2 linked regions of the Macaca mulatta genome follow. The protein of the gene in region 2 binds, or shares a complex with, the protein of the main gene of each other region. Links are inferred from orthologs where the notes say so. Each region holds a gene or a part of one and is shown on either strand. Other genes may lie near its edges. The genes, in order: BRK1 and CYFIP2.

Region 1 (4,419 bases), on a different chromosome or scaffold from region 2:
CAGGCAGAGGTCACAGTGAGCCAAGATCGTGCCATTGCACTCCAGCCTGGGCAATTAACAGAGAAACTCCATCTCAAAAAAAAAAAAAAAAAAAAAAAACAAAGAAAAGGAAGGAAGGGAGGGAGGGAGGGAGGATGTTTTGTTTTTCCCCTTAATTTATTGTATTTGTTTTCATGTTGCTTGTGTTCATAATTAGCATTTAAATGACTGCATAATAGACTGGGCGTGGTGGCTCATGCCTATAATCCCAGCACTTTGGGAGGCCGAGGTGGGCAGATCACTTGAGGTTAGGAGTTCCAGACCAGCCTGGCCAACATGGTGAAACCCCCCCTCTACAAAAAATACAAAAATTAGCCAGGTGTGGTGACCTGAACCTGTAGTCCCAACTACACTGGAGGCTGAGGCTGGAGGATAGCTTGAGCCCAGGAGTTCGAGGCTGCAGTGAGCCATGATCATGCCATTGCATTCCAGCCTGGGCATCAGTAAGACCTTGTGTCAGGCCCAGCGCGGTGGCTCACGCCTGTAATCCCAGCACTTTGGGAGGCCGAGGCGGGAGGATTATCTGAGGTCAGGAGTTCGAGACCAGTCTGGCCAGGATGGTGAAACACCGGCTCTACTAAAAATACAAAAAATTTAGGCGGGCGTGGTGGTGTGTGCCTGTAATTCCAGCTACTTGGGCAGCTGAGGCAGGAGAACCGCTTGAATCCGGGAGGCGGAGGTTGCAGTGAGCCGAGATCACACCACTCCAGCCTGGGCGACAGAGCGAGACTCCTCTCAAAAAAACAAAAAACAAAACCTTGTCACAAAAACACAAAGTTCCTTCTGAAAGGGATTGTTCCAGTTTGCAGTGTGCCCACCTATTTATGACCATGTCATTTTTTAGACTCCGTCTAAAAAAAAAAAGAAAAAAAAGACTTGTATTTAGTGTGTTTTTTTTGTTTGTTTTTTTTTTTTGAGAGGGAGTCTCGCTCTGTCTCCCAGGCTGGAGTGCAGTGGCGCGATCTCCGGGTCACTGCAAACTCCGCCTCCCGGGTTCACGCCATTCTCCTGCCTCAGCCTCCTGAGTAGCTGGGACTACAGGCGCCAGCCACCGCGCCCGGCTAATGTTTTGTGTTTTTAGTAGAGACGGGGTTTCACCGTGGTCTCGATCTCCTGACCTCGTAATCCGCCCGCCTCGGCCTCCCAAAGTGCTAGGATTACAGGCGTGAGCCACCGCGCCCGGCTATTTAGTGTGATTTAATCGACTGTGCCCATCTTACTGCGGACACAGCCTGGAGCAGTTGAGGGAGACGGCAAGACCCCCCACGAGCCCGTTTAACACCATAACGCGCGTGCACTACAACTTCGCCGCCGGAGTCGAGGCTTCTGTTTTCTACAGCGTGGGAGTAGAGAGCAAACGCCAGCGAGGACGTTACATTGCACAGGCGTATCACAGTACCCGAGAATTCGTGGGCGCTCCAGAGGATGGGTGTGGGCTGATGGCGCAGGCGCGCTAGAGGCCTGTAGGGTCGGGGCGCCTGCGCAGTCGCTCTTCCTCAGGCGGCCGCCATGGCGGGACAGGAGGATCCGGTGCAGCGGGAGATTCACCAGGACTGGGCTAACCGAGAGTACATTGAGATAATCACCAGCAGCATCAAGAAAATCGCGGACTTTCTCAACTCGTTCGGTCAGCGGGCCAGCAAGGGGAGGCGGGGAGGAGGGAGGCCGCTGAGGCGCTTGGGCTGGGCTCCGGGGAGATGCTTTGAGAGGACTCCCGGAGCCTTCGGCTATTGCGGGTTTTCACTTCCTCCTTCAGGTCCCACCTTCTTCCTCCCGTCCTGACCCTCAGGCTCCGCTGGACAGTCTCTGTAGGATTATCCTGCCCTACGCTGAGCTCCTGGCTTCCTGCCATGCCCCTGGACCCATTCTACAAGTCCTTTTCCCAGACGGGTCAGGCAGCCCCATCCTCGCTCCGTGGTTCTCCTAAGTGGTCTCCCTGCCTCCTTTGTACTCTACATCCATTCCAGTCCCCACTTTGCACTCAAAGTGAACATCCGGGACCGTGTCACTGCTCTGTTTGAAGACTGTTGACGGTTCCCCATCTTTAGGATCTGCTGGAAACCCTCTAGCGTCATGACTTTTAGTTGGACCCGTTGTCAACCACTCCCGTCTTGTCCATTTCTTCCCGTCTCCTGTGTGTGCTGCGGTGAGAGTGGTTGGAGATGAGGTCAGAGGGATGCCAGGATCTTGGAAATCCTCTCTGTATTGCTAGTATATAGCTTGTGGTAGGTGTTCTGTCTACTTCTAGCCTGTTCCTCAGAGCTAGTACAGGTCGGGTGCCTTCAGCAGAAAGACATCTTTACCAGAGTCTTTCCTAGGCATGGCCTGCTCGTGACAGCCTTAACTTCTTATGAACAGCAAGCAAAGTAATCAAGACTCCTACCCCTTCTTCTCCAAGTGTTTAAGAGAACTTGGCACTGGTTAGATTTTCTTGTGTAATTACAGGATATAGGGATGCATCTAGTGAACTTTTCCTCAACTAGTGTACTTTGGAAAGATTTTTAAATGAATTATTCTCTAGCTAAAGGAATGATGGCCTTAGGAGTGTAAAGGTGACAGAGCAAGAGATGGTCAGAAAGCATCAGCGAGATATGCTAGAGCTCCATATGAGGCCCTCTCTTAAGGCATAGTGGGAGACACAGAATAAGAACCACTTCCTACATTCAAAGAAGTTCTAATCTTGAAGATGAAATAATGACAACTTCAGAACAAAGAAGAGCATCATTTTTGTATTAAAGTATTTTCATACAGGGTGTATAGGACTATAATCATGGCTGGGTTCAATGGCTCATATCTGTAATCCCAGCACTTTGGGAAGCCAAGTTGGGAGGATTGCTTGAGCCCAGGAGTTCAAGACCAGCCTGGACAACATGGCCAGATCCTATCTCTACAAAAAAACAACAATGACAAAAAATTAGTTGGGCATGGTCATGCAGACCTGTTGTCCCAGCTACTCGGGAGGCCGAGACAGGAGGATCACTTGAGCCCTGGAGGCAGTGAGCCATGTTCATGCCACTGCACTCCAGCCTAGGCGACAGAGTAAGACGCTGTCTCAAAAAAAAGAAATCCTGAGTTGGATTCTAGTAATGTAATTTCATTTCTGAGAACAGAATTGTACCAGTAAACTTTTAATTCATTATGTTTATCTTTGACATAGTCTTGGTATATCATACCCATTAAATTTATAGTGAATGAGTCTTGGGACTGACTGAAAATTGAAAAGCTTAAGCTTAGGATTTGTAAAGGAGAAATGTCTCTTTTCTTGCTTAATAGGCAAGGAGATATCAGCTCAGACATTATGTCTGATTTGTAAGAGTCACATTTTATGATCAGATGGAGAGTAAAGACTTTTTATTTGGGCTTTCCAACAATTTTTTTTTTTTTTTTTTTTGAGACAGGGTCTCACTCTAGTCCAGGCTGGAGTGCAGTGGCATGATCTCAGCTCACTGCAACCTCGTCTTCCTGGACTCAAGCTATTTTCGTGCCTCTGCCTCCTGAGTAGCTAGGTTTACAGATGTGCACCACACCTGGCTGATTTTTGTGCTTTTTAAAGTAGAGACAGGTTTTGGCCATCTTGCCCAGGCTGGTCTCAAACTCCTGAGCTCAAGTGATCCACCCACCCCAGCCTCCCAAAGTGCTGGGATTACAGGCGTGAGCCACTGTGCCCTGCCCCCAACAAATTCTAAACTAAGGAATTAGACATACAGAAGTCCAGTCTTTTGGAGCCAAAATAAATGACTTCCCTTAGCTTAGATCATTATCCTCCCTTAAAGTGATGATGATGGCCAAATGTTTGGAGTAATTACTAGGTGGTTTTTAAAGATTTTAGAAAGTGAATTTAGAGAAAATAACAATTAAATTCAACTAAGTAAGAAGATAATTATAATGCAGGATTAACAGTCAAAGGAATTTGACTTAGTAGTTAGGTGTACCTGAGGCAGGTTCTTAAAGATTGGCATGGTGGCTCATGCCTGTAATCGCAGCACTTTGGGAGGCTGAGGCGGGCGGATCACCTGAGGTCAAGTTTGAGATCAGCCTGGCTAACATGGTGAAACCCTGTCTCTACTAAAAATACAAAATTAGCTGGGTGTGGTGGTGCACGCCTGTAATCCCAGCTACTCAGGAGGCTGAGGCAGGAGAATCGCTTGAACCGGGGAGGTGGAGGTTGCAGTGAGCAGGGATCGTGCCACTGCACTGCAGCTTGGGCGAAAGATTAAGACTCCGTCTCCAAAAAAAAAAAAAAAGAAAGATTGACAATATCACAATGCAAGAGTTTAGAAAAAGACCCCACAAGCTGCAAAACTGGATAAATTTTAAGGATAGACTTGAGTATGTTTTCTTGATATTGGATAATTTAGGATGACTGTGTGTGGGATGTTT
Region 2 (3,811 bases):
GCTATAGACGGTGGAGAAGCCCAGAACCTGAGCCAAAGGACGCCCAATGCCTCCTTATTGTTTATGAGATCCTGAGGCTGTGCTACACCCAGGCTCAGAAACCCACACTGGCAACGTGCCGGGAAGACAGTACCCAGGCCTGATTCCTGATCTCTAGGCTGACTTCACAGCTGCTCTCTCCTGCCCCTTCCATCTCCATGGTGGCTTCCGCTCCCCATACCTGGACGTGTCTCTGTTTCAGCAGTGTTTCATAGCGATTGGACGGTGGATAAGGAATGATGACGCCATAATTCTTACACTCAGCTCGAAAACGTTTATCCAACAGGACACTGGAAGGAATAAAAGTGAAACAAGGTCAGTAAACAGACAGTGAATGACTCTCAACTGCCCAGATACTTCTATTTCAGATCATAGAATCTACCCACAGAGCACTATCTTATATATCTTAAGCAAAATTGTTTTCTGCTCTAGATAAGTTACTTCACATTTCTTTTGAGTCACAGAAGCTCAATACGTGAAACAGAGTTTCTAAGTTAAAGATGGGCAACACTGAACTTGGGCCACTTTCCTCTTTTATTCATTTACCACAAAAGCAATTGAGTGCTTGCTTGGTGTATCCCAGGAAACATTCTGGGTACTGGGAATACAAGGTGCCTCTCCTCATGGAGCTCATATTCGAATGAGGAAAGACTGATAAACACAAACAGAGGAATGAAATAATTTCAGATAATAGGTAATAGTTGCATAGTGTTTATTATTTCCCAGGCACTTTAAACACACACAGACAAACACACGTCCTTTTAAATCTCTCCACAACCCTATGAGCTGGGAGTGTTACTATCTTTCACACTGAGGCATGGATTGCAGAGGAGCAAGTGCTTTGAAAATAAGAAAATGGGATCATTTGGAGTTAGGAAGTCAGGCAAAGTCTCTCTAAAGAAGTTTTGCTAAATGGAGGCCTGAATGATAAAATCGGAAAGATCTAGGGGAGCACTATCATCGACACCATGAGCTTGGTTACGTTTGAGAAAGGGAAAGATGGCCAGTGTGGATAAAGTACAGTGCAGGTTGCACCGTATGGTGCAAAATGAATTTATGACATTAGACCAGGGCCAAACCAGGTAGGGCCACACAGATCCTAGTACAGAGGCTCGGTGTATTCTAGACATAACTAAAAGCCACCTAAAGAAAGAGACATGATCTAAATCTACACTGTCCAAAGTAGTAGCCACCGGCCACATGTGCCTACTGAACACTTGAGATGTGGCTGGTCCAAATTGACATGGGCTGTAAAACACAGGATTTTGAGGACTTAGAAGAAAAGAATGAAAAATCTCTAATAATTCCTATATTGAGTATATGTCAAAATTATAATGTTTTGGATATGTGGGGTTAAATATATTATTAAAATTAATTTCACCTGCTTCTTTTTCCTTTTTAAAATACCTCTACTAAAAAATTTAAAATAACATCTCTGGCTCACGTTTGTGACCATGTGGCATTTCGAATGAACAGGACTGACCTAGCTCATGGTTTTCCTCCTGGGTTTTCTCCGAATCTCTCAACCTCCTCAACTTTCCACACTTTAAAAAATCACTGATCTTACAGGGAAGGGTGTAGATAAAAGCCCATAAGTTAGACAAAGGAAGACCCAGGGTTCGACATGCCTGAGTCTGTTTCTATAGATGATGGAACAGTGTATTTGGAATCAGAATTGTCTTATAGAAGCCAGAAACCCAACTCACTGTTAGAACCACATCCCATTCAATCCACAGATGCGTATTGACTACTCTGTGAAAGGCTGTGTTCTCTGCTTTCCTTGAAATCCTACATGCATGCTTTCTATACTTTCCAGCCTTTAAGAGTCGCATTATTTAATGCACATCCTATGTTAACAGAAACTTATATGTGCTGCACATCAACTCCTATTTGAAATATATCAGGGCTACTTTGGCTGTTAAAAGCAAAATGAAGTAAATCCGTTTCATAGAGAAATTATTAAAGCAAGGAACTATCCTTGAAATTACTGGTTGGTATGTTTGGATTTCCAATAAGAATGGAAATACCTATATATAAATTTGAGGTTTTCCTTGATCAGTGCTGTTACAGGTTCTTGAAAACCAAGAACTCACGAGGGTTTGAACCAACATATAGTGGCAATACCAAGGAGCCTCTAAGCCTGATACATCTCTGATCCAGACTTCTTCACTGGCCTCCTGTCTGGTTTGCACACACCCATTCTTCTCCAATTCATTCTCCGTACATTTATATTTTTAAGGGAGTAAACTTTCACAAGTAAATAAAAATCGAATCGGGTCACTGTTGTACTTTTGAAACCATTCGGAGTCATTCCACTCCTGGGAGAAACAGCCACAAAGCCGGCGTGCCCTGGCCCTGCCCACCTCCCCAGCCTTAGCAGGCAGCCTGCCCCCTCTAGTGGTGGTGAAGAGACACTGACATGCATTAATTCACAGGAATCCTCCCACAGCCCTGTGAGGTTGGCAGGCTGTTATCATTATACTCCCGCCACAGGGACCTTGCACAAGCAGTTCCTTTTGCCTGCAACTTCCTGCCACATCCTTCACCTCCTTTTACTTTCTTCACTCCTACCAACTTCAGATAAGAACTCAGATGCCACTTCCGCAAGATGGCCTTTCTAGTTCCCCACCCCCAAAGGTTTAACCGTCGTACGTTCCCACGAGCTTTTCCCTCACAGAGAGCATGTAACCTCCTTGTCACTGTGCACTCATCGGCTTTTAGTCAATGTCTGTCTTTCCTGCTAGACTGCAGTCTGTGTGAGGTGAGCCCTCTATTTATTTAGTTTCCTTTCCACTCTATTTCAGCACCCAGTCTGGGCCTGTGGAATGGCTCTGTTTTCCTCAGGGGCTAAAGAAGAAGGGAGGTTTCACAATGGAAAATCACATCTTCCAGGTGGCAGTCTTAAGAGATTGCTACTCACAGCTCTGGGGCTTTCCTACCTGCCGGCCATGGCTTTGTAGTAAGCAAAGATCTGGTCTGCCAGCTTGTAGACAAACTGATCAAAACACAGGTTCACCTGGTGGAGAGGAAGCAGGAACATCACTGGTGCCCGTTCAGCTTAATCACAGAAACCGAGCCAACTGAAAGAGGGCAGTCGGCCAGGACTGCCCAAAGTGCATTCTGGGGAAAGACGCTTTGAAGGGGAAAAAGAAGATTCTGTGGCTAAGTTTGGGAGGTTTGGTCCCTTGCTCTCAGGGTCCTCAGTCAGTCAACAGACAAGGCAAAGTTCAAAAAGGAACCAACCTCCCCACGGACCCCCTCCTTAGCTGTTTTGAGGCTGCCTGCCTGGAGGGATGCAACGAACAGACCGTCAGAACCCGTCAGTGCTTGAATCTGTCTGCTAACTCGGCAGCCTCTCCATCTCTCTCTTCTGATAGATGTTATTTTTCATTGTATTTTACTTTGCTTTGCAATTTTTTTTTTTTTTTTTTTTTTGAGACGGAGTCTCGCTCTGTCGCCCAGGCTGGAGTGCAGTGGCACAATCTTGGCTCACTGCAAGCTCCGACTCCCGGGTTCACACCATTCTCTTGCCTCAGCCTCCCGAGTAGCTGGGACTACAGGTGCCCGCCACCACGCCCGGCTAATTTTTTGTATTTTTTTTTTTTTTTAAGACAGAGACTCGCTCAACAAGTCGCCTAGGCTGGAGTGCAGTGGTGTGATCTCGGCTCACTGCAACCTTCACTTCCTGGGTTCAAGCGATTCTCCTGCTTCAGCCTCCCAAGTAGCTGGGATTACAGGCACCCACCACCATGCCCAGCTAATTTTTGTATTT

What was found.
Region 1: CYFIP2 (region 2) and BRK1 share a complex: the UniProt entries of both Homo sapiens proteins name them as parts of the WAVE1 complex. The link is inferred for Macaca mulatta from reciprocal best matches to the Homo sapiens genes CYFIP2 and BRK1.

The regions. Positions count from the first base shown.
Region 1 is NC_133407.1:148,959,447-148,963,865, forward strand, and holds the start of BRK1 (protein BRICK1), read left to right. Parts: upstream 1-1,527; 5' UTR 1,528-1,548; coding exon 1,549-1,666; intron 1,667-4,419. UniProt on the Homo sapiens protein: Involved in regulation of actin and microtubule organization. Part of a WAVE complex that activates the Arp2/3 complex. As component of the WAVE1 complex, required for BDNF-NTRK2 endocytic trafficking and signaling from early endosomes.
Region 2 is NC_133411.1:166,199,187-166,202,997, reverse strand, and holds part of CYFIP2 (cytoplasmic FMR1-interacting protein 2), read right to left. Parts: intron 3,056-3,811; coding exon 2,979-3,055; intron 330-2,978; coding exon 221-329; intron 1-220. UniProt on the Homo sapiens protein: Involved in T-cell adhesion and p53/TP53-dependent induction of apoptosis. Does not bind RNA. As component of the WAVE1 complex, required for BDNF-NTRK2 endocytic trafficking and signaling from early endosomes.